Nothobranchius furzeri: one gene and its partners. The protein of the gene in region 5 binds, or shares a complex with, the protein of the main gene of each other region. Links are inferred from orthologs where the notes say so. Each region holds a gene or a part of one and is shown on either strand. Other genes may lie near its edges. The genes, in order: bcas2, snrnp40, rnf113a, rbm22 and cdc40.

Region 1 (6,079 bases), on a different chromosome or scaffold from region 5:
CAGTCATTTTTTAACTTTTTTCCCCTACTGCCACTGTCAATATATTTTGTGATTGTTTTTCCTAAATTCTTTTTCAGATACTGCTTCAAGATGTCCTCTGACAGTGATGATGAAAGGAGTATCTGACTTTGGCTGAATAAAGCAGAGTTTATAACTCTTCCACAAATTATTAAATAAGAAAATGAGCAAAAAATACCAACTTATTTATTATGGGACATGTTCTATACTAAATAGCCATTTTAATTTACAACCAACATCCAAAATACTTCAAATTAAGGCAACTGGACTTCTTTGGTTTCTTGAAGATGTTTCGCTTCTCATCCGAGGAGCTATTCCAGTCAGAATTGTCAAAGCTCTTTTTTCCCCTGAAGCAGTTTCTCCTGAAACCTGGGACTTATTTCCCATGGTCTGAAGTTTGACATCTGAGACCTGAGGATGTATTTTAGAGGGAATAAATATATCTCGAGGCCATGACTGGCCACAAAATGCTTGGCCACAACTTAATACATGGCCATGACGAATTTAAAGTTGCTATAACAAATTTGGAAAACTAATTGGCTTACAATGTTCATGCCTGTTAAGAGTTCTAGTATAGTTATGAATATACTGTGGAGATTTAAAAAAAACAAGAAAAATTAAGTCGTTCTTTCGCATTTTTCTAAAAAGCTCTACCCAAAACATGTTTTGTTCTGAAAAGCAACTATTGGGCCATCTGGTTGTCGGTCTTGCTGAACCACCACACTTCTTTGGATCCTCCATTTTTTACGCACTCACATATTTTGCAACAGAACACTGGTGGGAGAGGTGCTCAGCTCAATAATATCAGAGGAGGAACAGCTGGCTGCTACCACTTCAACTTTAGAACAAAATATGAAAGTCTCAAAAAGAAAAATGCCATTTGAAGTTGCTGACAACAAAAGATGTCTAGACTTATGGTGACTGACGGTTTAATTACTCTGGCAACGCAGGTGTCCATTTCCAGTAGAAGTATCTCGGGGAAGGTAAACAAGGGAAGAGGGTGCGTGTTTTGTGATGGTGTTTGCGCTCTAAACCTAGCTTGTACTGTAGATTCACTAAAGCAGCTTTAACTCATGGCCAACTTATCAATTTGTGAGTGTTCGAGAGCTCATCTATACTGAAAGGATCTCCTCTTAAAAGCCCAAAAGTAGTTAATTTTAGGTTTCATCATAGGGTTACTGATATTTCTTTTAAAGAATACTAACCAAATGTTTTATTTAATTAATTAAATCATCCCCCCCAAAAAATTAAAAAAAAAAACATCGTTCAGATAACCTGTGGAGATGATCAAATGAAAGAGGATGGGTTTCTCAAGTTTTCAGTCAATCAATCAATTGAATACTTTTTTTAAAAATCTCTGATTTTTGTTGGAATGTATTTCTTGCATTTGAAGTGGGTAAAAAGGCTGGTATTTTGTGCACACCAGCCAGACTTACCCCCTTTCTATTCTACACATTGGCATGGCTGTCCAGGCTAGAGATTCATATGAGCATCAGATCTCATGTACTCCAGATAGTATCAGTCTGCATCAGATAATTTCTGAGAAACTATCTGGTGTGGATGAGATATTATCTGGTGCCAATGTGATTTTGATTTAAAAAATGGAGCACACATATGGCTTGTGGTGGTGGCAGGGTCAGTGATCCAAATTCTTCAATTGTGTCTTCTACCAATCCACTTTTCTACATTAAAAAAATGGTCCAATGCTGTCATAGTCAGGTGACAAAACAGAAAATGGGAAATTACGTTAATGCTCGTTAAACACACGCGCGCGCGCGCGCATTTAAAAGAACCTTCTTGGAGCCTCTAAAACTAAGTCTATATTAAAATATTACAAGGAAATGTTGCGTCTTGGAATCGTGTTTTGAAGAAATTATGGGTGGTTTAAAACGTTTGCACAGTTTTATATGGGGTCTTGTACATAAGGTTTCAAGGAAAATTTACTAAAAATTAGGGTAGAGGGAAAACAGGTCACAGTTGGAGTTCAACTGTATTTTTATGCGCATCTTCGATGTGCATCTTCATCACGCACTGCCTTCGTCACATTCCTATCGAACACGGAACCGTAAGCATTATGTATGAGCACGGAAAAAAATGTAGGACATTTTATTTTGAAACTCTTCACCGGAAAAAGAACTTGGGTTCAGTTAGCTACTAGCCGCCGAGGAAGAAATAAATCAACAAATTAATCAGTAAATAGACTCATTAAAATGGCCGGGACAGCTTCAGTAGCGGGTGAAGTGTTTGTTGATGCTTTGCCGTATTTCGACCAAGGTTATGATGCGCCAGGTGTCAGAGAGGCGGTGAGTGAAATAAAAAATGTTTGCTATCAGAAGCGTGTTAGCCAACACGCTACATGGAAACTTTCATTAATCCTTAAAGTCGATGGCCTTTTAACTGTTAAATTAATATTACTTGTATAGACCAAACTAACGCGTTTATTTTTATATATAGCTGGTTAGTGTTTATTAGTGCGTAATAGACTGCTAGACGAAGAAACCAAAGAATCTCAACAAATGCACGAATTTTGTTAAAACAACATGAAACGAATATAAATTTTATATATTTGCATAATAGGTCGCAGAGACATTTTATGACATGTTTCCTTTCTTTAAATTTGGTTTATTTGGGTTCTAATGTGACTAATTATCCTTTGAGTTTGGCACGGGAAAAGATGCATAATTTGAGATTTTAACACCTAGAATCTTTCAGATTCAAACTGTGAACTTGTTGAATTGTATAGTTGATAATGCCACATTAAACCTTGTGAACAGTGATCAAATGGTTATCTGTATTTGCGTTTAGTAAATAAGGATGTAAACAACGTCATAGACAAGTACCATTTTAGGCATCTTTGGAGCTTTTATGTGGATGTTTTATAACTTCTTTTTGTACTTCTTGCTCCTTGTAAACCTAAAATCAGATTTAGTCTTCATATATTAGTTTATTTATGTATTTAATATTTGTCATCCTTTGTTATTACAAAATAGCGAATTAAGCTTGACAGGGCATTGCCGTAGAATAGTAATGAGAAAGTTGGTTTTAAAGCTGCAGAACCAAACATAAACCCTGTTTGATCCCTTAGGCAGCTGCATTGGTTGAGGAGGAGACAAGAAGGTACAGACCTACGAAGAACTACCTGAGCTACCTACCTACACCTGACTTCTCTGCTTTTGAGGTAAGAATCTAATTAGAAATGTGAGGTCTTCTTATGGACTTTCAGACTTTGACACAGAACTTACTGCACTTTGTTTTCACCCTTCCAGACAGAAATTATGAGAAACGAATTTGAGCGGTTAGCGGCACGTTCGCCTATGGATCTTTTGAGCATGAAAAGGTAAAAACTGCTCTGGTGGTAGTTGCCTTGCAAGATATATGTTTGCTTTGCAAATCATTTGCTCAGTATTTTAATAAATATGGACATTATGTTCTAATATCTTCCTGCCTGTGAAGATACGAGCTGCCAGCTCCAACTTCAGGACAGAAGAATGACATTACAGCGTGGCAAGAGTGTGTGAACAACTCCATGGCCCAGCTGGAGCACCAAGCAGTTCGCATTGAGAACCTGGAGCTCATGTCACAGTATGGAACAAATGCATGGAAAGTCTACAATGAGTGAGTTATGGCAGCTTTTATTTTTCAGAAATAGTACCATTGTTTTATTTGAAGACTGTTAATTATTTTTTTTGTTCTCCTTCCACAGTAATCTGGCTTTTCTGATTGAGATGGCTCAAAAGGAACTCCACAAATTCAGGTGAATTGCGATGCCTGGACATTGTTTGCTAATTTAAAGGGCTTTGAGAATTCATATTTAGAAGCTTAACAATTACTTTGGTTGACAGGAAGCAAATTCAAGATTTGAACTGGCAGCGTAAGAATGATCAGCTGGCAGCGGGGGCCAAACTACGCGAGCTGGAGTCTAAGTGTGTCTTCTGAACAACTTCCATGTCACTGTGTGGAGAGAACACGTTGTTTCCAGATGTCTTAACATCTGTGTTTTTGTTTGACAGTTGGGTGTCTCTGGTCAGTAAAAACTACGAGATCGAGAGAGCCATAGTCCAGCTGGAGAATGAAGTAGGTCAGCTCCGGCAACAGCAGGGAGACGAGAACAAGGAGAACATCTGTCAGGACTTCTGAAGAATCACGCAAACTCAAAACTAACGTTCCCTCAATCAGACACATTTTCTACAGATCTTTAAATCAACCACATGTTTAGGATTTTCCACTAAAAACATTGTTGGAATGTTTAAAATGAACTTTTATCAGAATCGTGTTTGCTCTAAGCAAAACTGTAGATTCCGATCTCATCTTATTTCAGGCTGAAAACGCAAACACACCTGTAATAGTTTTATTTTCTGTTTGCAGCGCTTTAGTGTTTGTTTTGTTTTGCAATTTTGTCATTTCAGACACAGCTGAGTTTTCAGTCCTAAGTTTTATGTTTGTGCTACTGATACCCTGGCAGTAGTTCCAATAGTTACTACACATAAGCCTCATAAATCTAGCTGTTTTTTAAGTTGCCTTTCAACAAAGTTTTTAGAATTGTAAATAATTTGTCAGATTTGAAGCCAAAATGAAAGGACTCCACATTAACTTACATTTATTATTTTCTAAAATGCTGTTTGTAACAAAATGAGCTTTTATAATAACTTCCATTGTCATCTGTCTTTGTTTTTTGTAACACGTTTATTTGATATTTTTAAGCTCAACTGGGTTTCTCAGTTTGACCAGAGAACAGACATGATCAGTTATCTTTGCCCTCGTTTGGAGATGAGGGCAATAGGGAATATTTGTTCCTTTGTTTACTCATTAGTGATGTAAAAAGTCCAGGACAACCCCTCTGATCATTTTAAGTAGACACTGAATATTGTAACTTTTGTAAGTAGTTACTTTTAATAAATTGTCAATAGAATGTAAAGGTACTCAATAAAATGTAATACTAGATATGGATTATAAAATAATCCAACTATAATATTTGATGATAAAACCAGGTAATTTGGGTTTGCCAGGGAACTAACACTTTATAATACTTTGACACAGGCAAAAATCTAGTTTTTAAAAATCTATTTAATACTGTATTTCTACTACTATGATAATGCAGAACAAATTATAAATGAGTTAAGGTCATGAAATAATAAACCTTTATGTTGATTTATTCATCACTGTAAAACAGTCATATTATATCACTTCAGATTAAACATTAATTATACTTAACCTGTTAAGTAAACAATTTTATGAGCCAGAATAATATATTTTTATTAAAAGGGAGTTAGATAAAAGTCTTTTCTCCTGTGAGGAGACCTTGACTTTGTAGGCCCGATAAGTCAGGAGATATTTCACTATCGCCTGTTCCTGGTGTCATGACACCCCTGGTTGTCATGGGTGGCACACTGACGAAGCAGGCCTTATCTACGTTACAATATTAAAAACACTGGCAACACCTGTCATTTATCTGTTATGGTGTGGGTTTGTTTGCCTCTACCACACCCCCACCCCCAACTAGGTAATTACTGGGGTTTTGCCATTTTTTATGAAAACAAGGGCAAGTTGGGATAGCTGAAAGGGAGGAAGAAAACATTAAATTAGGATTGTTTAGGTACATAAATAATGGCTCCTTATACACTTTTAACCCTCTGAGTGCCTGGTCTTTTCCAGAAAACACATTAAAACTAATCAATAATATGAATCAGGGATTTTTTTCCACATAAATTACTTTACAAAGATCTGTTTCATTTTGGTGGAGTACTTTTCAGCAGCCAGTTGCAAAGCCAAAACAAAAAGGCCCAAATCACATCATTGTTTTATCCTGCAAGATATTTATGGAAAAGTTTGCCAGTCATTGTATGCATAAAGATGCACATTAAGATTATGTGAGCTGAGCTTTTGCCAACAAATAAAAGTTCACACTAAATTGTGACTGTATTTACACATTTAAGAAAAAAAAGACCATAAAAATATATAGAAACACAAATATGTCTGGATATTAGATAAGATTCAAACACCTGTTTCAGAGCATTTAAACTGTGGTTAATATCATCTTAAACCAGAAAGTGTAAATGATCTT
Region 2 (6,091 bases), on a different chromosome or scaffold from region 5:
TTGAGAACCACTAACCACATCGCCCCTCAGGAGCGATAAAAACTTTATAGGAAAAGTTTACCAATTTAGTTTTATTATCGGTATTTAACCAGAAAATAGTTCAGATCTCCGACTCTGGAAAACTGGATCGGAGTCCACTAAACTAAAAAGACCTTTTCACCCAAATGTTTCTGTTTTACAGGGTATCTGCAGGTTTAAGGGAGCCAAATTTAAGACTTTTTAAGACCTTTTTTAAGGCCACTTTGACCAAATTTATGCTATTTTTTAAAATTAAATTTCAGTTATAATTTCCAGCTATTGCCTGGAACCGGTGCTAACCACGTCATGAACGTGGGATTAACCATCCAGTTACCATTAATGTTGCACCTCCCCATGGCGCAAGCTCCCACTAACATGCTCCTCTAAAAACAGCCCCCTTTCACAACCAACCGTATCTGTACAGTTCCGCTTACGCCAACATCATACACAAAAAATCCTGAGCTAACTAGAAATTCACCAAAATTTTATAGAAATAAAATAATCTTGTTTATTGGGTCTTTGGTAATTTAAGACCTTTGGAAACTGTATTTAAGGATTATTTGTCATTTTTAAGGATTTTTAAGGCCTTAAATTTGGAAAAGCAAATTTAAGACTTTTTAAGACTTTTTAAGGACCCGCGGATACCCTGGTTTTAGGAGTCAAAGGAGTCATTTTTGTGGGGCATTTTCCGCCATATTGCTTGAAAAGCTCCTGCTGGTGCTGGCAACCGATTCATTTCCTGTGAAGGACTTGAGACATGTGCAGGGTGTCCCCTGACTGCTGGACCTGACACCAGCTCCCTGCTCCCCTACTGAGGAATCGGTGCTTCAGATAAAAAAAATAAACTCTTTTATAGAATAATGACATTTATTCAAAAGAAATATGTAAAAAACACAAGTTTAGTCTTAACTAAAGCTTGAGAGACAGGCAGACCCCGCCCCACACACACCCACACACACACACACACACACACCTTATTGGATTTCACCCATGTACAGACGTTTATCACTGGAGCCAGACAGCACTGCAAAGACACAGAAAAGAATAAATGAGTGACTTTTTCTTGTGTTTGGTTCCGGTTCCTGTTCTGTCGCTCACCTATGGGCTCCTCTGGGTGAAACACCACCTCGTTAACAGAACCGGCGTGGCCCGGCAGCTTGTAGAGGATCCTGCGAGACGTGGTGTCCCAGATGTACACAAATCTGTAGCAGACGCACAGAGCGGGGAACAAAAGTGGCTCTCAGTGCCTTATCTTTACTCCGTTTGGGTTTAAAAAGTCACCAAAGCGTTTCTCACCGATCGGCTGATCCTGCGGCTACTTTACTGCCATCAGTGGACCAGGAGCACCTCAGCAAGTTCTGAATAAACAGGAAAAGAGGACATGAGAAGAACACAGACCCGGAGCTTTCACAGCTAAAAAGCGGTTTTCTTTAGTCCAGATATGTACGACTTCTCAGATTGACCTAGAAGTGAATTGTTCATTTGTCTGCTAGTGAAGATTACCTTTTCAAAGTTGTGAACATTACCCTGGAAAATCTTCACGCACCTCTCCTTGGGTGCAAACGGCCGCACGTCCCAAATTCGCACTGCAAAGACACGCGAGACTCTTTGAGGGATGCGATTCAAGCACAGATGAGCAGGATCAGAAGCCGAGCATACCAGTGTTGTCCATGGAGTTCGACAGAAGGTATGACCCCTCGGAGCTCAGGCTGAGCCCGGTTACAGAGTCCCCGTGTCCATGCATGTTGTAGATCAGCTTGTTCTGTCGCAGATCCCACACCTGAGCAACACAAAGCTTTCAGATCAACGACCAGGAGAGAATTTTAGGCTGGAGCCGATTTGTTGCCTTCGACATTTCACATTTTTGCAACAATCAACAAAAAATAAACTTGCGTTTGGAGTTGAAGCAAACAAAAATGTAAACAACCAAGGGCTGACAATAAATCTCACTGAACATCTTCAGTCAATCAACTTTAAAATGGCTGAAACAGAGCATCACTGCAACCATCTGCTGTTGTTAAAGGGATTAAAATGTTTAGTCTGACTTTCTTCAAGATAAACAGTTTAATGAGTCCCTTTAAGAAAAACTGTTTTTTTAACCTTGATGTCGTTGTCGATGCCTCCAGACAGGATCTGATCACTGGTGTCGTTAAACGTCACGGCCAGAACCTGGTAGGTGTTCTGAAAGGTGTGGATGGCTCCTTTTTTGCGGATGTCCCACAGCTAGAAAACAAAAAACATCAGGCTAAACAAAACGTGCAACAATGTAGGTGTGTGTGAACGGTGTGTGTTGGACCTCATTTTCACAGCAAAACACCCAGAAAACAGCCTGACCTTGATCGTCCCGTCGTCGCTTCCTGTACAGACCAGCTGAGGACCTCGGCGAGCTGGATAGCAGGTGTTAACAAAGGAGGTGTGTCCCTTCAGACGTTTGACCCTCTCACCTGTCTCGCTGTCCCACACGCCAACAGTCTTGTCCGTGCTGGCTGAAAACAACAAGCTGAACCACACAGACACCTCTGTATCACACTTCTGACTCAAGTTCCGCAATAATCCACCAGATATTAGTTGATCATATTCCACCGTCTCTACCTGCCATCTGTGTTATAATGCAGCTCCATCACCGCTCCGCTGTGACCCTTCAGGGTGGCGTAATTCTCACAGTCTCCATACACGTTCCACAACACTGCAGCATGGTAACAGAGATTTTAAAGCGGTTTTAACAAACATATGTCTGCTACTGTTTGACACAAACTTACATATGAGTCTGTCGAATCCTGAAGAGGCCAACACAGCTCCATTGGGGTGAAACTTGCAGCAGTAGACCTCCCCCTCATGGCCAGACATCAACATGATGGGAGCCTGCATGCTGGAGGTGCGTGGATGGCCCTATGGGGATCAGTGATTTAGGTTTGCAGCATTATGGTGCAGAAACAACAAGTGGTACTTTACTTTAAATGCATACGAGCTGGATGACTTGCTGAGATCTAGCAAAGAGAGTGAAGTAAATGCTCCCTTTAATCATGTAGGAGCTGGAAGTAGATCCTAATTGCACCAGTGGCAATTACAATCTGGTGTTTCCTTAAGCTTGCATTATGATAAAAGGTGATATCTGTGTATATATATTTTACCTTTGATGCACAAGTGAACTCTGATCATCTTGACAGTTTATTTATTTATTATATATGCTTTGTTATTTGAATCAAATATTAAAAAGGAAGGCTGTTTTAATAATAAATATTGTTACCAATAAAATACATAATTACAATAACCAACACGCTCTTGAAAATAGTTTTTTTGCATATTGAATTCTATTGTCAACTATTCTGATGTTTACATTAATCATGAAAACGTGACTAAATCTGCTTACATGGTCCGGTTAATGAATACATAAGTCCCCGGCTAGCATAGCTTGCCCTTTTCTCAAACTTAAAAACATAACTACTATAAAGGTGGTAAGTATGATTTAATCTTGAATGTAAACGCAGTCGGATGTCACCAGGGCTACGTTACCGTGGCCACGAGCTGCTGAGACTGAGCCGCCGCTACTAGCTCCATCCGTGGCCGCTTCAGCGCAGTGGGAACCATCGCCATGTCTCCGGGTCTCTTTAGAGGTTCAATCATTGCGGGGAAAGTTAACAAAAAGCGGCTAAATAGAGTAAATGCAAAGCTAAAACTTAGTAAAATTAACGGACGTCTTCGACGAAAGACGTCTGAGGAAACAAAACCACCAAAGAAGACAGACACTGAAGTACTTCCGGGTTCAAAGCTCGTGATTGGTGGAAATTTGCGCAGGCTGCAGTGATTGGCTGATTTTCTTCCTGGCGTCAATTTGACCTGGAAGTATAACTAGCACAGTTTAGTCGGTGGAAAAGGTATTGCAATTATTTTTATTTCTTAAGAGTTAGAGTCACATTACGCAAAATATATTAATTATAGCACAATTGTCTGGTTTACTAATGTATCATAGAGCAGTTTAACAGGAATAGGTTAGAGGGTTTTATGTAAACACCAATGCTCGTGTTGCGTTTATCCTGTTCATGTTTCCAGAGATATTGTCTCCTATAGTTTTTACTCCGCTCGAATTAATGTAATGGAAAGTGAAGTTTGAGGTAAGATAAATCCATGTTTTGAAAATTAAAACTGATTTACAATATTAATAATTCTATTTGTTCGTTTTTGAGATTAGCCTAGTTTCTTTAAATCTGACAGCTGCAATTTTTGTCTGTGTTCTTTGTTTTTATTTATTTTTTTGTGTTTGGTTCTCAGTCTGTTTCACATGTATGGAGTGTTAGAAAATATGCAGTTACCGTTTAAATAAAATTTAGACCATGGCTGGTCTTTTTAGTCTAGTTTTAATATTATTAAACTGGGTTATTTGAGCTTAATTCTTAATGAAAACGAAGAAAAAACATTTTAATTGAAGGATAACTTCAACTGAACTTGATTTATTGCCTACTCCTGACTTGTGAAAACATAATAGTTGTCGTAGAAAGTAGTTTTATGGATTTTTATTTAATAATTTTTATTCACAATATAAATACTTAAATTTATTCTGTTACTTTGTAAAAGGAACAATATTGCTTTTATTTTGGGTTTCTTTAACTTTTCCTCGTCTTTCGTCTTTTATCTGTGTTGTGTTATTGAATTGAAATATATTTAATCCTCCAACTGTTTGCCCAGATTGAGACGATGTCCAACCGTGACCGCTCGAGTCGAGAACCAGCCGGGCTGGATGGTCTGCCTCCGATGTACAGCATCGCCAAGGGAGAGGTGGTTTCAGTGCAAACATATGGAGCTTTTGTTCGACTGCCTGGTTACAGGAAGGAAGGTTGGTAGAAGGCTGAGAGCTTGTAATCTTTAAAAATGAAATACCAGTATTAGTAATATTAACCAGCTGAGTGAAGTGAGTCCTTTAAAGCAGTAATGGATCTGTAAAAAGAAAAATAGGAGATATTAGATGACTACAGCTAACTTTATATTTTTTATTTAAAAAAAACGTTTTCATTTAATACCATATATTATAATTTTAGTAGCAGATGCAGCACTGGGAAGCATCAACGGCTAAAATAGGAAGAAGTTTGTCCCAAACTTTTTATACTTCATTATCTCTGATGATAAATTCTAATTTTAGTGGTTGCCCTAAAATATTTTGCCACTAGATGGAAAAAAGATAAAAGGTTTGGGTTCTAATTTGAGTATTTATTATCAAAATATAGGTGCTTTTTATGTATTATTCAGGTCTTAATATTAAGTTAAATTAAATTTAAGGAAATGTTTAGATCTCAGATCATCTAAACAAGAATCTATTTGTGTTTCAGGTCATTTTGGCTCAACTGTTTTTGTCTGAAATCCATTGAGGCACACTAAAAATCCTCTCTCTTTCTTTGCTCTCTCTCTCTCTCTCTCTCTCACACACACACACACACACACACACACACACACACACACACAGGTTTGGTACATGTGAGCGAGATGTCTGCCTCTAGGGTTGAAAGTGCCTCAGAGATTGTGGATGTTGGGGAACAGGTGTGGATTAAAGTCATCGGACGGGAGGTAACGCGCACACACACACACACACACACGCGCACACACACACACACACATGCTTACTTTGAATCTGCAGCAAATAAAAATTCTGCCCTCTGACTCTCAGATTCAGGGTGAGAAGGTGAAGTTGTCCTTCTCAATGAAAGCTGTCAATCAAGGGACAGGGAGGGACCTGGACCCCAACAATGTTCAAGCGGAGTGAGTGTCTACATTTGTGTATGAGTGTGTGTTTTTAACAGACCTGTTATAGTCGTGTGTGTGTGTGTGTGTGTGTGTGTGTGTGTGTGTGTGTTTGCAGGCAGGATGCAAGGCGGCGAAGGCAGTTTAGAGATCAGGGCAGCAACAGGATCACACTGGAGGCCGTACTCAACACCACATGTTCAAAATGTGGCTGCAAAGGTACTAAACTACAGATGAAAACAGATTTCACTTCAAAACATATTTTATTTACTTAAGGTTTGCGTATTAACTCTTTACGTCTTTCAGGCCACTTTACTAAGGACTGTTTCTCGGCTCCGGGGTT
Region 3 (6,007 bases), on a different chromosome or scaffold from region 5:
AATAAATGTTTAAATCAGTGTTTCAGCAAAGTGAAGTCTTATTTCAGGTGATGGTCACAATAAGTGTTTTTTCACTTCCTGGTGGAAGAGGTATGTGAAGGTGAAACGCACCTGTCTCACCTTCACTTCTAAAATAGGCGTACATCACCGTGTATAATTTATATTCTTTACAGTAAAGAAAACCCGACCCACGTTGGTCAGGACCCGCTGAAACAGGAATGAGGTCGTGATGAATACCTGCAGACCGTGATGAGGTTTTTTCTTTCCACGGCGACGCTCCGAGCAGACGCCTTCTTCGATGTCAAACCCATAGCCATTGCTGTCTGAATGCAGCCCGACTCCATTAAGCGGCGGCGGCCCCGGGGCCTCTTCGGGATCCGTGCCCAGGCCAGGACCGCCCCCTCCACCGGTCCTGCGTCCTACCACCACCCGCTGTCCTCCGCAGGACGCCAAGGATGCCGCCGCTGCTGCTGCAGGACGACCGGAGGTATCAGCGTCAGGTTGTGCGTGATAACAAGCTGTTTCCGGTTAAGCGTTTCAAAATAAAACCAAAATTCCTATCGGTTTTTAATAAAACTGTTAGAAACCAGCAATGCTTTCATTTCTGATATTTCGGTTTGCATTCTATATGGTAATATCGAAGAATAGATTCATTTTATGCCTTCATAGACTTCGTATAGCCCCGCCAAATGAACAATTACAAGTAGAAGTGTTTATTTGAGATTCAGAACTATGTTTTATTGGTTAATGGTTATAGTTTTACTGTATTTTGTTTAGTGTTTTATGTTTTATTTTTATTTCAGTAGTTTATAGCTACATTTATTGTCCAATTAAAACGCATTATTTTCCGGTTTAAAACAAAAATGACCTCAAACATTTGTGTGTGTGTGTGTGTGTGTGTGTGTGTGTGTGTGTGTGTGTGTGTGTGTGTGTGTGTGTGTGTGTGTGTGTGTGTGTGTGTGTGTGTGTGTGTGTGTGTGTTCAAATAATAAAGTTAAAGTCCCATAGTCATCATCACACTGGTGAAATTCATCTCCACATCTGACACATCCCGATGGAGAGCAGGGAGCTGCTGCAGTGGCTGCGCTCAGTAATTTGGTTGTTTAACCCCCTAATGCAACCCTTTAAAGCTGAGTGTTAAGCAGGGGGGGGGATTGGGTTCCTTGTTAAAGTCTTTGGTATGACTAGACCGGTATTCAAACCCGATCTCCCAATCCCAGGGCAGACACCTGATAGTGGCCTAAATTGTTTTATATCTGAAATGTTTGAGAAGAAATTACAAACTTGTTAGTTAAATTTCACAATCAAAAAGAATTACTTGATGTTCCTCTGAGTCTACAGCAGAGGGACAATAGGCCACCAGAGGGCGTATGATCTGATGTGTTTGTAATGCTGCTAATAGTTTTTGTTTTAGCGCGTTAATTTAATCTTGTTTAACACAGATAATTATGATACATTTATTAAGCTTCATCGGTTGTGTAGTTTATATAACTGCAGACCTTCTGACCTCTTGTTATTTCTTTTATTTTGAAAGGATTTATAGGAAGTGCTAATTGGTTATGTGTTGTTCAACTTTATGTGAACACTGTAGTAACCGCCTCTGACCGCCAGAGGTTGGAAAAAACCCTACTCTCGAAAGCCAGAAACTAATTGAGTTCTTGTTATCAAGTTGACATAAACAATACATTTAATCACTTATAGACAGATTGTGTTGGCATCAGTTACGTCAAAAGATTATTTAGACAAAAAGCAGTTAAACATAAAATTTTCTTACAAATTTATGTCATTCGTTTTTATTTATTTTTCTTTCTTTTTTTGTTTTTTGTTGTTATGGTTGTTGTTGTTGTTGTTGTTCTTGTGAAGCGCCTGCTCATGATTATTATCTTGAGCGGTCTTGTAAAAGATCGTTTCTTCTTTTTATCAACGACATTTCTAATGGCTATTTTTGTGTATTTTGTTTATTAATCGTTTATACATTTAGTGTCCAATCAAAATGCGTTAATTATTTTTCTGTTTAAAACTAAAATTACCTTTTAAAAATTATTTCAAGTACTACGGAAGAGGATTAAGGCCACTGAAAACAAAGAATAATGATTTAAATCTGAAAATTCTGAGATTAAAGTCAGAATTATCTTTCTGTTCATTTTTTTATTGTATTTTTCTTTTGTTTTCATTGGCCCTCGTCCGTTCTAACATAATATTTTAGGTTTACCATTCTAGCCAGAGCCGCGTTGACTTTGATTTATGGACGGTTGTGAATCTCATTTTGGCAGAAGGAGCGCGTCACGTTTCGCCTCCAGAACAACAGGGGGCGCTACTGCTCTGGCAGCCACTGTTCTTACACCAACAAAAACATGGCGGACCCAGACAAACCAAAAGCAGCTACTTGTACGTTTTTGTTTAAAAAATCCACCAAGAAATTCTCCGGAAGAAAACGAAAAGCAAGTGACAGCGATAAAGGTAGTAAACTATCATTTAGATACATTTCCTTGTAATTTTCTCCTAACTAGCGTTGTCTGTCCTCTGGATAGAATTGATAGCGGCTTCTCATCAGGGAGATCAAAACCGCGACCCAAACAGTTTGTTTATATTATCCTCCATAATAAACAGGACCAAAAACATTATGGTTTATCACCTGAAAGCTACATTTAAACAAAGAGGGGAAGTAACCTAGTTTAATTGTAATAGATTTTGTAATGTTTGTTTACACCAATTGTGTGTGTGTGTGTGTGCGCGTGTGTGTTTGTTTGTTTGTTTTAGATGGCGATAGTGACACTGAACAGACTGCTGTGGTCAGAAAAGAAAAGAAGGATGCTCGAGTCAACCCCATGATTCAAAAGGTAGAGCAGGCAAGCTAATAGATACTTAGTTATGAAGCAGCAACGTGAATGATCTATGTATTCTTTGTTCAGACAAAAAAAGTGGAGAGGGACGCTGTGTCTTCTAGTGAAAGCGAGGAGGAAAAGGGAGACAAAAAGATAACGGTTGCTTACAAGTCTTCCCGATCAGCGGTGAGTTCAGACTGCATTCATTCAAAAATGTCAGAGCCAGACAGTACAAGTCAAACACTGATCTTTTTTCCATCATGGCTCAACCTGGCTGTTGAGACAAAACATACAGGGGCTGAAACTTCACCAGAAAAGCAAATTTTAACATTATTTTACAATCTACAGACCATTCTCATCCACGTACACATGACTATGTGCCCTGAACAGTTGTTTTTATTTACTTTAAAACTTTCTACTGTACCTTGCCTTCATAAAAAGAAACCCGAGGGGCCTGAAGACATGGGTGCAACTGCCACTTATCAGCTGGACACAGAGAGAGACAAGGATGCTCAAGCTATTTTTGAGAGGAGTCAGAAAATCCAAGAGGTAGGACATGCCGCTATTGGTTAATATAAAATGAGAAATAATCAAAATCTCACCTTCGTCATTTGAGCTTTCCCTCCTCTGTCTCATTAGGAGCTAACAGGTAAAGAAGATGATAAAATATACCGTGGCATCAATAACTACCAAAAATTCATCAAGCCTAAAGACACCACCATGGGCAATGCCTCTTCAGGCATGGTCAGGTGAGGCAAGAGATATTCACATGCAGTCAGAAGATGTTGTTCACCTATAGATGCTGAAGGTTACGTTCAATCTGTGCTACAGAAAAGGACCGATTCGAGCTCCTGAACACCTGAGAGCTACAGTCCGGTGGGACTACCAACCGGATATTTGCAAAGACTACAAGGAGACGGGTTTCTGTGGATTTGGGGGTTGGTGAAAACAATCTGAACTCTTAAAACGTTCCTACTGTGAAGTCAAAGGTTTTGTTTATTAATCATGATTGCATCCGTTGCCATTAGACAGCTGCAAGTTCCTCCATGACAGGTCGGACTACAAACACGGCTGGCAGATTGAGAGGGAACTGGAGGAAGGGAGATATGGAGCAAATGGTGAGTAAATAATCGAACTTGAAATCTTCTCTTTTGCTGGCTAGACTAAGTTTCTGATGTGTTTTCATCTAGATGACGAGAACTATGAGGTGAGCAGTGATGATGAAGACTTGCCCTTCAAGTGCTTCATCTGCAGAGAATCTTTTAAAAATCCCATCATCACAAAGTAAGTACTGCGATGGTTTCTCTCCTTCAGTCCTTGTTTATTACCGGCTGGTAATCGCTGTTTCCTTAGGTGTAAGCACTATTTTTGTGAGAGCTGTGCTCTTCAGCATTATCGCAAGTCAAAGCGCTGCTACGTGTGCAACACTCAGACCAATGGTGTCTTCAACCCCGCTAAAGGTAAATGCATTTGCTCAAAAACATCCAAGAGGAGCAGAAACCAAAGTAAACAGTCACACTTGATGTTTTATTGTCATTTATTCTAGAGCTGATTGCCAAGATGGAGAAACGCAACGCTTTAGCCGACCAGCCACCGTCAGACGAAGAAGATTAGAACACGCTTTAGAACCCTCTCTGTGTTTGTCTGTGTACATTTCTAATAAAGTTCATGGCCTCGGTTCCTTTTGTACAATCATGTTGAAACACTGAAGCAGGCCTGGGTTTGTAGTAAAAGTTTTACATTTGTAACACGTTGCTTTGTCCAAACTTTCAAATATACATGCAGACAAAACCAGCACCAAGAAAACATTTACATCTGACGTCAGTAACACCCAGAGAGCCGAAGAAAAGGCTAACTTTTACGCTCTTAATGCTAAACTAATAATTACAACCTGTGCAACAAAAGAGTCTGAACCGTGAGACGATGCATCTGCTGTAGCAGACCGGAGCTAAGAAATGCTGTCAGTCCTCAGAGAGGACTGCTAGGTGCCCTTATGGTCGTCTCCTGGAGCAGACGGACCAAATCGTGTTAACACAAACGGTGGAGCGTCTCCTGGTAATATTACGTAGCAGCATTTCATTGATCCGTCTCCTGACCTTTATGGTTTGGGCTACATCTACCTTTAGAAAACTCAAGAGTTGTCCTTTTGGTTCGTGGGTGTGTGTAGAGTACAATCCGTGTAAATACCTGTGTGAGATAAACCAGTGCAGAGCAAGAATCCGCAAAGAGAACAAAAGTGAAGTGAGTCACCAACAAGAGGGTAGATGACTTCACTTTTAACCTCTGAGAACAACTAAGATTCGTAAAATCCCATCCTCTGCACAGTCGCTCAGTACAATCTTGAGCTCGTCTTTCCCGCAAAGTCCTCTACTCTCAGAAGTCCCAGTCATCTACTTCCAGTTGGCTGAAACCCGACTCCAGACTCGCCAGTCCAGAAACCGAGTCCAGAGGCTGGGTGCTCTCAAAGCAGGTGATGGGCGACACGGGTTGCAGCAGCTCGGGTAGAGCCTCTGACGGTCTGCGTTTGATCTAAAAAGTCAAACATTGTCAGTCAGACTTGCAGCTTATATTTTAGCCCTGTTGTCCATATTCAATGTTTGAACTTGAAATGTGATCATGAGGAATATTTTCATGTCCAGATCGGATTTACTCTGCTGCCGAAAACACAAAAAAGTTACAAGATTTATTTTCTGAACTTTGCTTTGAACTGGTTAAGACCAAGTTCACTCACTTTTCTTACACACCTGCAGTGGTCTCTAGTAAAAATGAATGCCTTGCGAGTTGACCTCTGGGGTGTAAAAGCTCTGGTGCTCTTGTTTCAGGAACTACAGGTTAGCCAGAGGAGTGGGGGGGCAAAACACGGCAGGATTTGGAGTTTTACTTCCTGGTATGCAAACATCTCGCCTCTGATTGGCTAACAGCAACATAACTAACAATGACATCCTGCAACATTTTATCTCCACAAATAACACGAGCCTGAAGGAGTTCTGCTATGTTGTGGAATTGCTAATGCTGTTAGCTTCTACTAGCTGAGGCATGCTCTGCTCTCTCCTGGGTGCGAAATCAACAACGGCCTTCCCGGTTACGAGCCAATATGAGTGAGTCAGTGTGACGTAGATTTGACTGGCTATAACGAGCACTCTACGCTTCATCCAACTGTACTTCGGTGCTCGACAGCTGTG
Region 4 (5,934 bases), on a different chromosome or scaffold from region 5:
ACTGTCTAGTGAGCCACCACCGGAGCCACTAGATGGATTTTGATTAAAAAACAAATCTATGACTCTTCATTCAAATCTTAAACTGATTCATTTTCTAGATCAATTCAAATCAGAATAGGTTCCACAGCTAATCATAGCTATCCCCACTTAACAATTGCTTTAATTCACTTGTTTCCACACTAAACTGTGGTGTAGTATTAGCTTATAATCATTTACAACACGAGTGTTCCACAATCTCATGACATCTTTGCCAAAAATGTAACCATTAATGTTTCTGTGAGATGAGCCACTGGAATCTTAATAAGTAATCACAGGTTTCAGGGATGGGATTAGGCTGTTTTTCAGGGTGGCTGAGCACTCCTGAAATCTAAATCAGCACCCCTGAAAAGCAGCTGTCACCAGGATGTTAAAAGACAGCCTAATTCTCAAACCGTACAGGTCCAACCCCCAAGCTCTGATTCCTGTAGTTGAACATTTTCTCACCTTGCATGATCTCACTAAGACAAATCTTTAGATTATTCACCCTTAACCGTTACTATGATTCACCTTGAGATATACCAATGTTTTATTGTGGAGTTAGCATTGTGCAGGGGTGCATTTCAGTGCATGCTGAGGATTGACCTGTTAAATGTTAAGTGCCATGCCCCCCCCCCCCCCCCCCCCCCCCCCCCCCCGCCAATGCCAGGGGCAGAGGAAATGTTGTGTCAACTGTTTCCTGTACTTTGTTATTCTAAGATTTGAAATCATCATGGATCCTCGTTGGGTAATAAAGCCGTCAAATATGGTAGTAATTTTCCGGGGTAGAGGCACTGTCACTAGGGAACCCCTGAAGATCTGTTACCCTGTTTGGGTCACAACGGATTCACAGCAAACACAAAAATGGCTGCAACACTTTATTATAGATATTGAGCCACACTGTCATGCTGAGAGGAATTCACAGCACTCTTGAGTGCTAACCCATTACAAGAGATCTTGCAACACTGTGTGAGATCATGTTATTGAAGATTTGCTCAAAACAGCTATAACTCCATCATGATGTTAGTTTTAGACTCTGGCTCATTCAAATGAGTGTATTTATCAAATCTAACAGGACTCCAGAGCTCTGGAACAATGAGCATCTGACATATAGTTGAACGCGTACATATCTGACCTTGTGACTCAAAAGATTTTGATTACAGAGCAGTGTAATCCAAGTCAAATCCTTTCAAAACGGCTTTGGTCATCTCATCCATATGTCACATGAGAGGTCACATGACTCATTAGGGATTCTCAGAGGGTTTACTCTGGTGTCCTACAAATAATAAGGTGAAAATCCCGACTGTTCGCCCAGATAAGGAGGGATGCAAGAGGTAGAGGGCCAGTGGAAATTTCCATTATGACCACAGGGCAAGTGACAGATTTGTACTTAAAGTTGGTTCAGTATTGATGTTTTTATCTATGGAGTCACCAAAAGGGGAGCGTCCCCGAGCTCTCCAGACCCATATCTGATCTCTGCCCTGTGACCACAACCTCACTCTGCACTTAAATAAACATTCAGGATTTAGTCCCCAGCCATTATCTTCAGCATCCTTTGGCCACACTAATCAGAGTTTCACACAACAAAGACACCCCAACCAGGTTCGAACCAGGTGGATGGCTAAACTATAAGTGGTCAGCGCAATAGGCTTAGACGGCTCTGAAGCGTTTGCCAATCAGTCTGTTTCTCCCTTTTCTCTGTCACTCAAATGCAAAGAGGTATAGAAAGCAAATGAATAATTTATTAAGTTTTGATAAAAGTACACGCTTATCTAATAAAAATAAAAAAATGCTTAGTGTCAGTTCCTGACAGTCTATTTAATAACAACACTGCATTTTACTGTAATGGGAAATTTTAAATGGGAAATGTTATCAGTCGAGCCACAGATATTCTAGCAGAGTAAAGCACAACACACACACACACACACACACACACACACACACACACACACACACACACACACACACACACACACACACACACACACACACACACACACACACACACACACACACACACACACACACACACACACACAGGAGGCATATGCTGGAGCGTGTATTTTCTTCTTTTGGTTTAGCTAAAGGCAAAGCATTAGAAAAGGATTAGGCCTGTATCTAATTCAGTACATTTAACTAAATAACTGTGTAATCACTGCTCTGAAAATTGTTACTTATATTTTGACTCACACCGGGCAATTTTAAATAATGAAACATTATTTTTAAATGTTTAAGAGTGAATTGGCTCTCCCATGTGGCTAGACCCTAAACTGGGCTATATTCGTGTGGCAGTAAAAGAGGATGGAATAAAGTTATTTTAAACTGGCGCGGTGGCTTAAAACTTTCTATTGTACAATAAATCGTGCATGTACTTTCATGCACAGCAGCTCATTCTCTCTGCTTTGTCTTGCTCATGTTTTTCACGCGAGATTTTAAAAATAAGCTAACGTTGCACGTTGTTGTGGCTCCTGTACTGCAGGTTGGTACAATCGTTTTACTGACTGACCGATAAACGCCAAAACATATTTTATAACCGGCATTTTCAGAAGTGAAATTAAGACGATAGTTTCTTGAAATAGGGCGACATCCAAAGGCGACGCGAGGCTTTGTGGGTGGACCTCTGTCGGTGTTTGGCTCACATTCTGCAAAATGGCGACTTCCCTGGGATCTAACACCTACAATAGACAGAATTGGGAGGACGCGGTACGTTAATCTACGATCATAATATTCACATAAATGAGCGACTGATTGAAATATTTACCAGTAACCACACTCTGTCTAATGCTGTTTTTCAAATCTGCCCAGTTTGCTTAGTATATAGTTAGCCTTCCGCTAGCTAACGTTAGCTATATGTAGCAACGTGGCTGCTATTTTGTTTAGCATCTAATATGAACAGAAATATTTATATGCATGTATTTTTGTCCAACTAAAATCTCAGAACAAGCTGTATATAGTAAGTGGCGATCACTCAGATGTGGCTTTAAGCCAATTTTATTCCGTTACGTTAACACGAAATATGCTAAAGTTAGCCACTCAAGCTAGTAGGCTAACATTGTAGCCTGAATGTAGTTAGGTAAAATGTTACTGTTATATCTTTAAAATGACGGTTTATTTTTTATGCGAGTATACGAGAAATTAGACCAATACCTAACAGCTCTAACATAAATATAGCAATAGTCATTTAGCTACTAGATAAGCACATACTCGTTTTTTACTTATAATCGGCGTCATGGTAATATTTCGGACCGTAAAAGTTGGCACATCCACAAAATCATCAAGATATACACAGTTATTCAATGGTTAATCAGAACCTGCTTTTACCATTTGTAAGTCTTGTTTCTGGATAATTGGTCAAGTTATGCTTTGTAAAGTACACTGTTTAGTTATTAATATGAATTTTTTACTATTTCAACAGCAATGTTTACGGCAAGCAGCCCTACTAAATAAGGGAATACATTAGATGCCTTTTTTGAGATACTGGACAACAGTGTGTAACAAAAATTGGTTTTCTTGAAACATCCGATTGTAAAGTCTGTAGCCTTAAGTAGTCGATGTTAAAGCTACAAGAGCTGTTTATATTTAGATTTTTGGCCGAAGCTGTCAGAAGGATGGATTAAATCCTGGTCATGTTCAGCAGCTCACATTAGACTGAAACAGCATCCTTTAACAGATGTGTAAATGGAGGACATGTCTTCCCACTGCATTCTTGTTTTCACACATGTAAATGAACCAAGATACCCAGGCAGAGCACTTTCTGCTTCAGATATTTGGGATAAGAAACTGTTCCACAAGGTTGTGCTTAGTTTGCTGAATGAACATCTTTTATTTTCCCAGGATTTTCCAATTCTGTGTCAGACATGTTTAGGAGAAAATCCATACATACGAATGGTAAGTGTGCTCTCCTGTGTCATAATTTATTCCGGATGTAGTTTACTGTTTGTACTTTTAGGCATTCAGGTGTAAACATGTCCTTGTTTTTTAACAGACCAAGGAAAAATATGGGAAAGAATGCAAGGTTTGTGCTGCATTTTATGTTTATGCTGTTTGAAATAAGCCACTGTTTCCTTTAATGCTGTTACTAAGTTGCTACTCTTTTTCCCTGTCAGATCTGTGCTCGACCCTTTACGGTGTTCAGGTGGTGCCCGGGCACACGGATGCGTTTCAAGAAGACAGAAGTCTGTCAGACCTGCAGTAAAATGAAGAACGTTTGTCAGACGTGTCTGCTGGACCTGGAGTATGGTGGGTCTCCCTAACCCACTTCCTCTTGTGACCCATGCTCTGCACTCTTATCATATAACTTATGAAAAAAAGTTGTATGAAATGAATCCCTTGTTTCATCTTGTTGTTGACAGGTTTGCCCATCCAGGTTCGAGACACGGGGGTGTCTGTAAAAGACGAGATTCCCAGGTCAGACGTGAATAAAGAGTACTACACACAGAACATGGAGAGAGAGGTAACATCACAGGATCTGTTTTTCTGCTTAATCAGCTGGTAGATGGATTTGTTGATCTTCTTCCATGTTGGATTAGTGTTTAAAATAACGTGGTGCATATCTTCTCTTAAAGGGATATTCCATCCCTTTGTGAAAGTCAGTCTGTTACCATATTCCCCAGAGTTGGATGGGTGGGAAAATGCATTTTGTAAACAAATACTTCTAACCTGGCAGTATTACGTTAGCTTTAGCTTAGCATAAACAATGTAAGTGGATGGTCATTCAATTCAAGTTTATTTATATATCGTCAAATCACGACAAGAGTCGTCTCAAGGCACTTCACATAGTAAACATTCCAATCCAGGTCAGTTCATTAAGCCAATCAGTAAAAAGTTTCTCACATAAGGAGCCCAGCAAATTGCATCAAGTCACTGACTAGTGTCAATAGGGCTGTAGCGAAGCCTCGACGAAGTCGACGGCTCGATTCTAAAAATTTGTCGACGTCAGATCCGGAAGTCGACGCACCGCGCCCACTTGTTGCATCCCCAGGAGTTTGTAAATAGAGGAGGAATCTGCCTGTTTTTCCTCTAGTTCGCCCTCTTCTCCGCCTTCACTAACATCTCCGCCAAATACCGAAGACCCGGAACAACGTCCGTCCACTACTAGATTATTTTCCTGTTTTGCCCCTTCGTCTCCCGGCAACGGACAACAACTTCCGGGGTCAGATGCGCTGCTTCGTGTCTATCGCAGATGTAGAAAATCACCGGGAGCGCTTCTCCCTTCATTAAGGAGCTTCTTTCAGACATTAGGAGAGCTGTTTTGGTGGTAGCAGTCTCTCCTCCGTGCTGGTCTGTTTGCTGCTGGGTGTTTTTGGTTTATTTAAACTTGGTAACTTGAACTTAATGTTGGTAAAGCTACTGTTAGCATCTTCGCTAACAGCTTCTTGCGTTGGGATAAGCTGTTACGTTTTGGTTTAGAGTTCATCTTTTTTGTGGTGTAGATCTCCCTTTTATTACATTTAGAGTGTTGTGGGTTTTCGGTTTAGTGTAAAATATCACCTGAGTTTGGTTTAACCCGTAAGACCACTCGCCTCACGCACATAAGTGACCAAAACAAAGCAGCATGGAGACACTCCATCTTCTACCACCTCTCAGGCAGCAGCCTGCACTCCCAAGTTCTACACGTCACCAGAACATAACCAACCGCAACACAATAAAAGCAGTGTTATACAAAATGGAAGGCCTGTAGTGTTTATTCTCTTACAGTAAGAATTTATCAATTTTTTTGAGGAATTTATTTGAGATTTTCTGGTTTTTGTTAATTGTGCAATAGAAAAATAATCATTAGATTAATTTTCTAAATAGTCATTAGAATAGTCGACTATTCGATAAAATAATCGTCAGAATAATCGTTTTAAAAATAATCGTTTACCCCCAGCCCTAAGTGTCAATAACTTTACAGCAATCCTCATACTAAGCAAGCATAAC
Region 5 (5,805 bases):
ATTTGTAAGTAGCATTAATGAAGAATACAGGATCATATAGAACAGAAATATGTAGATTTACAAGCAAACTACCTGTGTACAGGCACTGACTTTGTATGCCTTAGTAAACAGCCATTTACAGTATCGATGCATAAAATGTAAATAGTAGGAACTTGAAGTAATCAATTGTAAATATCTTTTCACTTGAAGAATGCCATAACTGTGAAAACCAGTGCAGATTATTATACATGTGCAACACTGTTAAACCATTTTTCAGTAAGATAATTGTAATTTTTCCATGTGTTTATTGAAAAGGAAAAAGCTGACTAATCACAGAAATAATGATTAGTTGATTAGAAACAAGTGCTCAACTAGAACATTTGGAATTTGTGTTACAGCAGTTCATGTTTTCAACTTAAATATCAAATATTACAGAAAGTTAGCAAATCGGTAGCAAGTATGCAGGTGCTTCAGTATTGTAGTGGGCATAATCATCAACAGACACGTTTGTTTTATAAGAGGTTAAAAGTAATTTGTTTTAACCAGCGTTTCAGGATCATGAGGACATTTTCAGTCATGTCTTGGTGAAGCAGCAATGAAAAACGTGTTTCTTGATTATGTAAATAAAAACATTTAAGAGCATATTTTAGCCAAGAAAGCTCATTAGCAAATTCTAGTTTAAGGCTTCTATAGGAGAACAACAAGCAGACATGTTTCAAACTTTAATTAAAGTGCTCTGATCCTGGATCTGGGAAGGTTCTGGAGTGGCTGGTCTGAGGAGCTGGAGAGTGATGATGGAGAAGCAAGACAGAACATCTTCAGAAGCTCCTGTAAGACAAGTATAACAGTCGTTAAAAAAAAAAAAAAAAAAAAAAAACAATAGTGTGGCCAGGTGGATAAACGAGGACTCGGACGGGATTCGATCCCCAGACTCCCGGGTAAAAGTTATACGCTCTAACCAGTCAGCCAAAGGAACATTTGCTTGGCCAAGTAGCCAGGGCACATCATCAATCGGGATGTTGCGACAGCACACACACACACACACACACACACACACACACACACACACACACACACACACACACACACACACACACACACACACACACACACACACACACACACACACACACACACACACACACTGTCACAATAGTAAATACTGAAAGTGGATGAACTTAAGAAGAATGGAGTTTTGGACAGAAAGAGCACTGATGTTTCAGCTGGACTCACGAGCCACGAGGACAGACTGATACGGCAGCCACACTTTTAAGTAATCATCAGGTCTGACTGAAACAGCGTTTCTGCCTTTTACAGGTGGACAGAAAAAATAATAATGTTGACACATTGTTGATAATATTACTACATTTCAAGGCTTTTTCAATACAGTGAAATTAGTTGAAACAGAGCCGAGTTGTATTAGAAAACAGCAATCCGCACAGCCCGACAGCCCGGCGAATCTGGGATGAATTAGTGCTGCCTCAACCTCCTCGTCTTTCATTGGGTCACTGGAGTTTAAATTAAGTGGATGAGAAACCCATGGGGAGGGCTCTGCATAAATGAGAGTAAAGTTGAATTTTAAACGCGTTAAAACTGTCACAAAGTGGCGTTAAAAGCGGCGTTTTATGTCACAGGACGGCGAAAAAAGCGGCGTTCAATGTCCGGGACCGTTCAGAACGGCGTAAATTACGGCGTTCTGGCAGAGTTTTCGCCGTATTTTACGACGTCTTGGCACGTCAAACGGCGTTTTTTTCGCCATTTCTTAACTAGACGGGTTGGGAAAGTGGCGTATTGTGACGGTTTTGGCTTGCCATAGTGTGCTCGTGGGAGGCTCGCGGACAGCGCGTGCACCCGCAGCATTGGACAGAAATCCAAACCGTCATAATGTGTTGTCCAATGGATTATAATGAAAATTTAGAATTTATTCACCTAAATTACAGTAATAAAACACGTTCCTTCAGAATAAAATATTGAACAGTAGAAAAAAATAGCTTTTTCGTGACAGTTTATAGTTTTAGTTGAGTTCAGTTAGTCAATCACAAGGTATTTTTAACCCTGATTTGTCGCTCTTACAAAGCAAAATATGTAAAAAAAAAACATAAATGCATATTTTGGGAAGTTGTATATGCTGGATACAAAGTGTCTTAAGTTATTCCTGCAGTACCTTTAATGAGAAGTTTTTCTTGTACTTTCAAAGCAGTTTACTGAGCATCTTATGGGTTTTCGGAGGGTGTGCATTGTTTACTGAAGATTCAGGACTTATTCATTTTATATAATATAATATAATATAATATAATATAATATAATATAATATAATATAATATAATATAATATAATATAATATAATATAATATAATATAATATAATATGTCTTTCTTTTTCTTTAGCGGAAGTCCCGCCCTCCTGCTTCCGGCGACTTCACAACATTCAACATGTCTGCCGCTATAGCTTCCCTCGCTTCGTACGGTAGCGATTCCGACTCAGAAAATGAGTCTGAATCAAAGCCTGGTACCGAGAAAGTTGCCCCGGTGGAACCGGACGCTACGACACACCTTAAACCTTTGCAGCCTGGTTACAAAACATCTCTAGCTGTTCTGAATTCAGCCCCGGAGGTCGCCGTGAAGGTAAGCTAAGAGAAGTAAGCTAAATGACGTTAGCTCTACGTAGAAGTTGAGCTAGTTATGAACTTTGTTTCTAGTATACACTTAATTTTAGCCATAGAATTAGATATCGGTCTGAACCTACATGTAACAGTTTCACGCTGGTGTTTTCTTTGTGTATTTAAATTGGCCTATTTAGGCTGATGTATGGCACAAGTTATTCGCATTATAGTTAATTCATAGGTTTGGAATATCCCTTTACCTGAGCACATATTTCTATTTTCATGTTAGGAGTCTGTGGAGACTGGTATTCACTTGGATCCTTTTCTCAAAGAAGTTACTTACAACCCAACATATGAAACCATGTTTGCTCCAGAGGTAAGTTAGAGAAACTGATCATGTAATTTTGTGCGTAGTTCAATAGTTCGTGTTTATTATCTTAGCATTTTTGCAATAACCCTTTTTAACCTTCTGAAACTGAGCTTTGTAATAAAGAGTTATCATCGCAAGGTGCTTAAAGACTACTTTGTCCATTTTGTATTCATTTTGATGATTGTCAAATTCACTCGTATTTGGGATTTTGTAGTTATACGTTTCTTCTTTTTGAAATTTTCCTTTCCATCTGGACATTGATTTTTTTCAGCTATCCTTTAACTATTGTAAGGCACAGATGCATTGATTTTGTTTGTCCCAGTTACTCCCACTACACCACTTCAAACAAGCTTTAGTCCATCCTGTAATTCTTGTATTCTTAAATCTGTACTTAAATATTTAAATCTGAATGCTGGTCACAATTTAAACCTTGTTGGGTAGCAATGCATCAATCAGTGCTTAAGTGCATAAATAAGTTTATCCTCCTCACAGCGAATGATTGTTTTATCCTGCTTCCTCTTAGTTGGGACCGCAGAACCCTCATAGGACGCAGCAGATGGCAGCTCCCAGAAACATGTTATCTGGCTATGCAGAACCTGCTCACGTCAGCGATTTTATGTTTGAACAGCAGAGGAGGACCTTCTCTTCATTTGGTAAGATAATTCGTAGCTTTTTAAAGAGTTTGCAGTGATTTCACTGACTCTGTTTTATTTTCTGCTCAAAGGTTACGCTTTAGATCCTTCCGTTGACACACACCAAGTATCCTCTGTTAGCTACATTGGTGCAGTGGATGAGGCTGAGAAAAATAAAGGTAAACAAATATTTTTGACACTTTTTTAATGCACATCTTCATCAGATTATATGTTATGACATGCCCAAGCAACAAGTTAAACCACTTTTCCTCCAGGGATGACTGTGTTTGAAAGTGGTCAGAAAAAGTCAGAGAAAAGGAAGAAGGTTAAAGGTGGTGATGCAGGAGAGATTGATGGCTTTCTTGGACCGTGGGCGAAATATGTGGATGAGAAAGATGTGGCTAAACCAACAGAGGTAATGTTTTCTGTATAACATTCTCTGGCTGCTTCTCTACATAATTGGCTTGTTTAAAAGTTAATGTTCTTTAATATTGCAAGGATCAGTATTGAACAGGTCCTACAAGCATCACATTAAGATTTAATAAATGTTTTCTGGACCTCTAAAATAAATCATCCAACTAAAGAGTTTATTTTTTAACATTTCTCTTTTAAAAGCTCTCATCGCTGACCTATTGTATATACACTTTCAGAAACACAGTATGTGCTTTTTCAGGTGCTGCATTAGTAAATATTCTGTAATATTTTGACGTAATTTTGTCAAGTCGATCAAACACTGTGGAGGCTGATGCTTAATCCTGGCTATGTGATCACACTCGCCTACGCAACATCCTCAGGCTTCATAATCAGGCATCCACTCAAGATGAAACATATTTCCGTTTGCTCAGCTCGCCATGTTAATTAAATAAAATCTGATCATTGCTGGTAAATTTTCTCATAATTTGTGTTTTACTGCACAGGAAGAGAAGAAAGAGCTTGATGAGATCACAGCCAAAAGACAAAAGAGAGGAAGAAATGAAGAAGAGGCTCCTTCAGAGGAGAAGACCATTCTCCATGGTAATTTGGCTTTTTTATATTTCAATTGACAATTGTAGGTAGTTACGGAATAGGATTAGGGCCACTGGGAAAATAATAAGAAAAAGAGAATTCTGACTTTTGTCTTAGAATTCTTACTTGTTCTTCTCAGAAATTAGACTTTAATCTCAGAATTCAGATTTATTTTTCTCAGAAATCTGATTTATTTTTCTCAGAATTCTGACTTTATTCTCAGAATTCTGACTTTATTCTCAGAACTCGAACTCGTTTTTCCTCAGAATTCAGATTTTTTTGTCTCAGAATTGTGATTTCTTTTTCTCAGACTTCTGACTTTATTCTCAGAATTCTGACTTGTTTATCTCAGAAATCAGATGATTTTTCTCAGGAATCTGATTTTTTTCTCAGAATTCAGATTTTTTTTCTTCTCAGAATTCTGACTTTTTCCTCAGAATTCAGATAATTTTTTTCTCAAAATTCTTACTTTATTCTCAGAATTCTGACTTTTCCCTCAGAATTCAGATATTTTTTTTCTCAAAATTCTTACTTTATTCTCAGAATTCTGACTTTTTCCTCAGAATTCAGAATTTTTTTTCCTCAAAATTTTTACTTTATTCTCAGAATTCTGACTTTTCCCTCAGAATTCTGATTTATTTTCTCAGAATTCTGACTTTATTCTCAGAATTCTGATTTATTTTTTCTCAGAAATCTGACTTTATTCTCAGAATTCTGATTTATTTTCTCAGAATTCTGATTTATTTTCTCAGATTTCTGATTTATTTTCTCAGAATTCTGACTTTTGTCTCAGAATTCTGACTAGTTTTTCTCAGAATTCTGATGTATTTACTCAGAATTCTGATTTATTTTCTCAGAATTCTGACTTTATTCTCAGAATTCTGATTTATTTTTTCTCAGAAATCTGACTTTATTCTCAGAATTCTGAATTGTTTATCTCAGAAATCAGATTTTTTTCTCAGAAATCTGATTTTTTTCTTCTTAGAATTCTGACTTTTTCCTCAGAATTCTGATTTTTTTTCCTCAGAATTCTGACTTTATTCTAGGAATTCTGACTTGCTTAGCTCAGAAATCAGATTTTTTTCCTCAGAATTCTGACTTTTGTCTCAGAATTCTGACTTGTTTTTCTCAGAATTCAGATTATTTTCTCAGAATTCTGATTTATTTTCTCAGAATTCAACTTTATTTTCTCAGAATTCTGATTTATTCTCAGAATT

The links.
Region 1: cdc40 (region 5) and bcas2 share a complex: the UniProt entries of both Homo sapiens proteins name them as parts of the postcatalytic spliceosome P complex. The link is inferred for Nothobranchius furzeri from reciprocal best matches to the Homo sapiens genes CDC40 and BCAS2.
Region 2: cdc40 (region 5) and snrnp40 share a complex: the UniProt entries of both Homo sapiens proteins name them as parts of the postcatalytic spliceosome P complex. The link is inferred for Nothobranchius furzeri from reciprocal best matches to the Homo sapiens genes CDC40 and SNRNP40.
Region 3: cdc40 (region 5) and rnf113a share a complex: the UniProt entries of both Homo sapiens proteins name them as parts of the pre-catalytic and catalytic spliceosome complex. The link is inferred for Nothobranchius furzeri from reciprocal best matches to the Homo sapiens genes CDC40 and RNF113A.
Region 4: cdc40 (region 5) and rbm22 share a complex: the UniProt entries of both Homo sapiens proteins name them as parts of the postcatalytic spliceosome P complex. The link is inferred for Nothobranchius furzeri from reciprocal best matches to the Homo sapiens genes CDC40 and RBM22.

What each region holds. Positions count from the first base shown.
Region 1 is NC_091755.1:51,936,917-51,942,995, forward strand, and holds bcas2 (pre-mRNA-splicing factor SPF27), read left to right. Parts: upstream 1-2,117; 5' UTR 2,118-2,228; coding exon 2,229-2,321; intron 2,322-3,103; coding exon 3,104-3,196; intron 3,197-3,284; coding exon 3,285-3,355; intron 3,356-3,471; coding exon 3,472-3,633; intron 3,634-3,721; coding exon 3,722-3,772; intron 3,773-3,860; coding exon 3,861-3,941; intron 3,942-4,028; coding exon 4,029-4,155; 3' UTR 4,156-4,664; downstream 4,665-6,079. UniProt on the Homo sapiens protein: Required for pre-mRNA splicing as component of the activated spliceosome. Component of the PRP19-CDC5L complex that forms an integral part of the spliceosome and is required for activating pre-mRNA splicing.
Region 2 is NC_091759.1:20,972,152-20,978,242, reverse strand, and holds snrnp40 (U5 small nuclear ribonucleoprotein 40 kDa protein), read right to left. Parts: upstream 3,776-6,091; 5' UTR 3,643-3,775; coding exon 3,532-3,642; intron 2,908-3,531; coding exon 2,778-2,907; intron 2,705-2,777; coding exon 2,611-2,704; intron 2,519-2,610; coding exon 2,353-2,518; intron 2,242-2,352; coding exon 2,119-2,241; intron 1,799-2,118; coding exon 1,678-1,798; intron 1,605-1,677; coding exon 1,522-1,604; intron 1,377-1,521; coding exon 1,315-1,376; intron 1,221-1,314; coding exon 1,117-1,220; intron 1,043-1,116; coding exon 993-1,042; 3' UTR 867-992; downstream 1-866. Other genes in the region: zcchc17 (zinc finger CCHC domain-containing protein 17), read left to right, coding at 4,711-4,849, 5,474-5,574, 5,675-5,766, 5,867-5,967, 6,055-6,091. UniProt on the Homo sapiens protein: Required for pre-mRNA splicing as component of the activated spliceosome. Component of the U5 small nuclear ribonucleoprotein (snRNP) complex and the U4/U6-U5 tri-snRNP complex, building blocks of the spliceosome.
Region 3 is NC_091745.1:10,007,369-10,013,375, forward strand, and holds rnf113a (E3 ubiquitin-protein ligase RNF113A), read left to right. Parts: upstream 1-2,300; 5' UTR 2,301-2,354; coding exon 2,355-2,460; intron 2,461-2,760; coding exon 2,761-2,840; intron 2,841-2,912; coding exon 2,913-3,011; intron 3,012-3,266; coding exon 3,267-3,374; intron 3,375-3,464; coding exon 3,465-3,574; intron 3,575-3,656; coding exon 3,657-3,763; intron 3,764-3,853; coding exon 3,854-3,943; intron 3,944-4,015; coding exon 4,016-4,109; intron 4,110-4,178; coding exon 4,179-4,285; intron 4,286-4,371; coding exon 4,372-4,439; 3' UTR 4,440-4,503; downstream 4,504-6,007. Other genes in the region: rundc3aa (RUN domain-containing protein 3A), read right to left, coding at 238-344; strada (STE20-related kinase adapter protein alpha), read right to left, coding at 5,199-5,354. UniProt on the Homo sapiens protein: Required for pre-mRNA splicing as component of the spliceosome. As a component of the minor spliceosome, involved in the splicing of U12-type introns in pre-mRNAs. E3 ubiquitin-protein ligase that catalyzes the transfer of ubiquitin onto target proteins.
Region 4 is NC_091741.1:95,933,090-95,939,023, reverse strand, and holds the start of rbm22 (pre-mRNA-splicing factor RBM22), read left to right. Parts: upstream 1-2,437; 5' UTR 2,438-2,494; intron 2,495-2,594; 5' UTR 2,595-2,664; coding exon 2,665-2,718; intron 2,719-3,849; coding exon 3,850-3,903; intron 3,904-4,000; coding exon 4,001-4,030; intron 4,031-4,121; coding exon 4,122-4,254; intron 4,255-4,367; coding exon 4,368-4,468; intron 4,469-5,934. UniProt on the Homo sapiens protein: Required for pre-mRNA splicing as component of the activated spliceosome. Involved in the first step of pre-mRNA splicing.
Region 5 is NC_091742.1:5,491,125-5,496,929, forward strand, and holds the start of cdc40 (pre-mRNA-processing factor 17), read left to right. Parts: upstream 1-2,377; 5' UTR 2,378-2,411; coding exon 2,412-2,603; intron 2,604-2,870; coding exon 2,871-2,957; intron 2,958-3,474; coding exon 3,475-3,604; intron 3,605-3,675; coding exon 3,676-3,762; intron 3,763-3,858; coding exon 3,859-3,998; intron 3,999-4,500; coding exon 4,501-4,597; intron 4,598-5,805. UniProt on the Homo sapiens protein: Required for pre-mRNA splicing as component of the activated spliceosome. Plays an important role in embryonic brain development; this function does not require proline isomerization.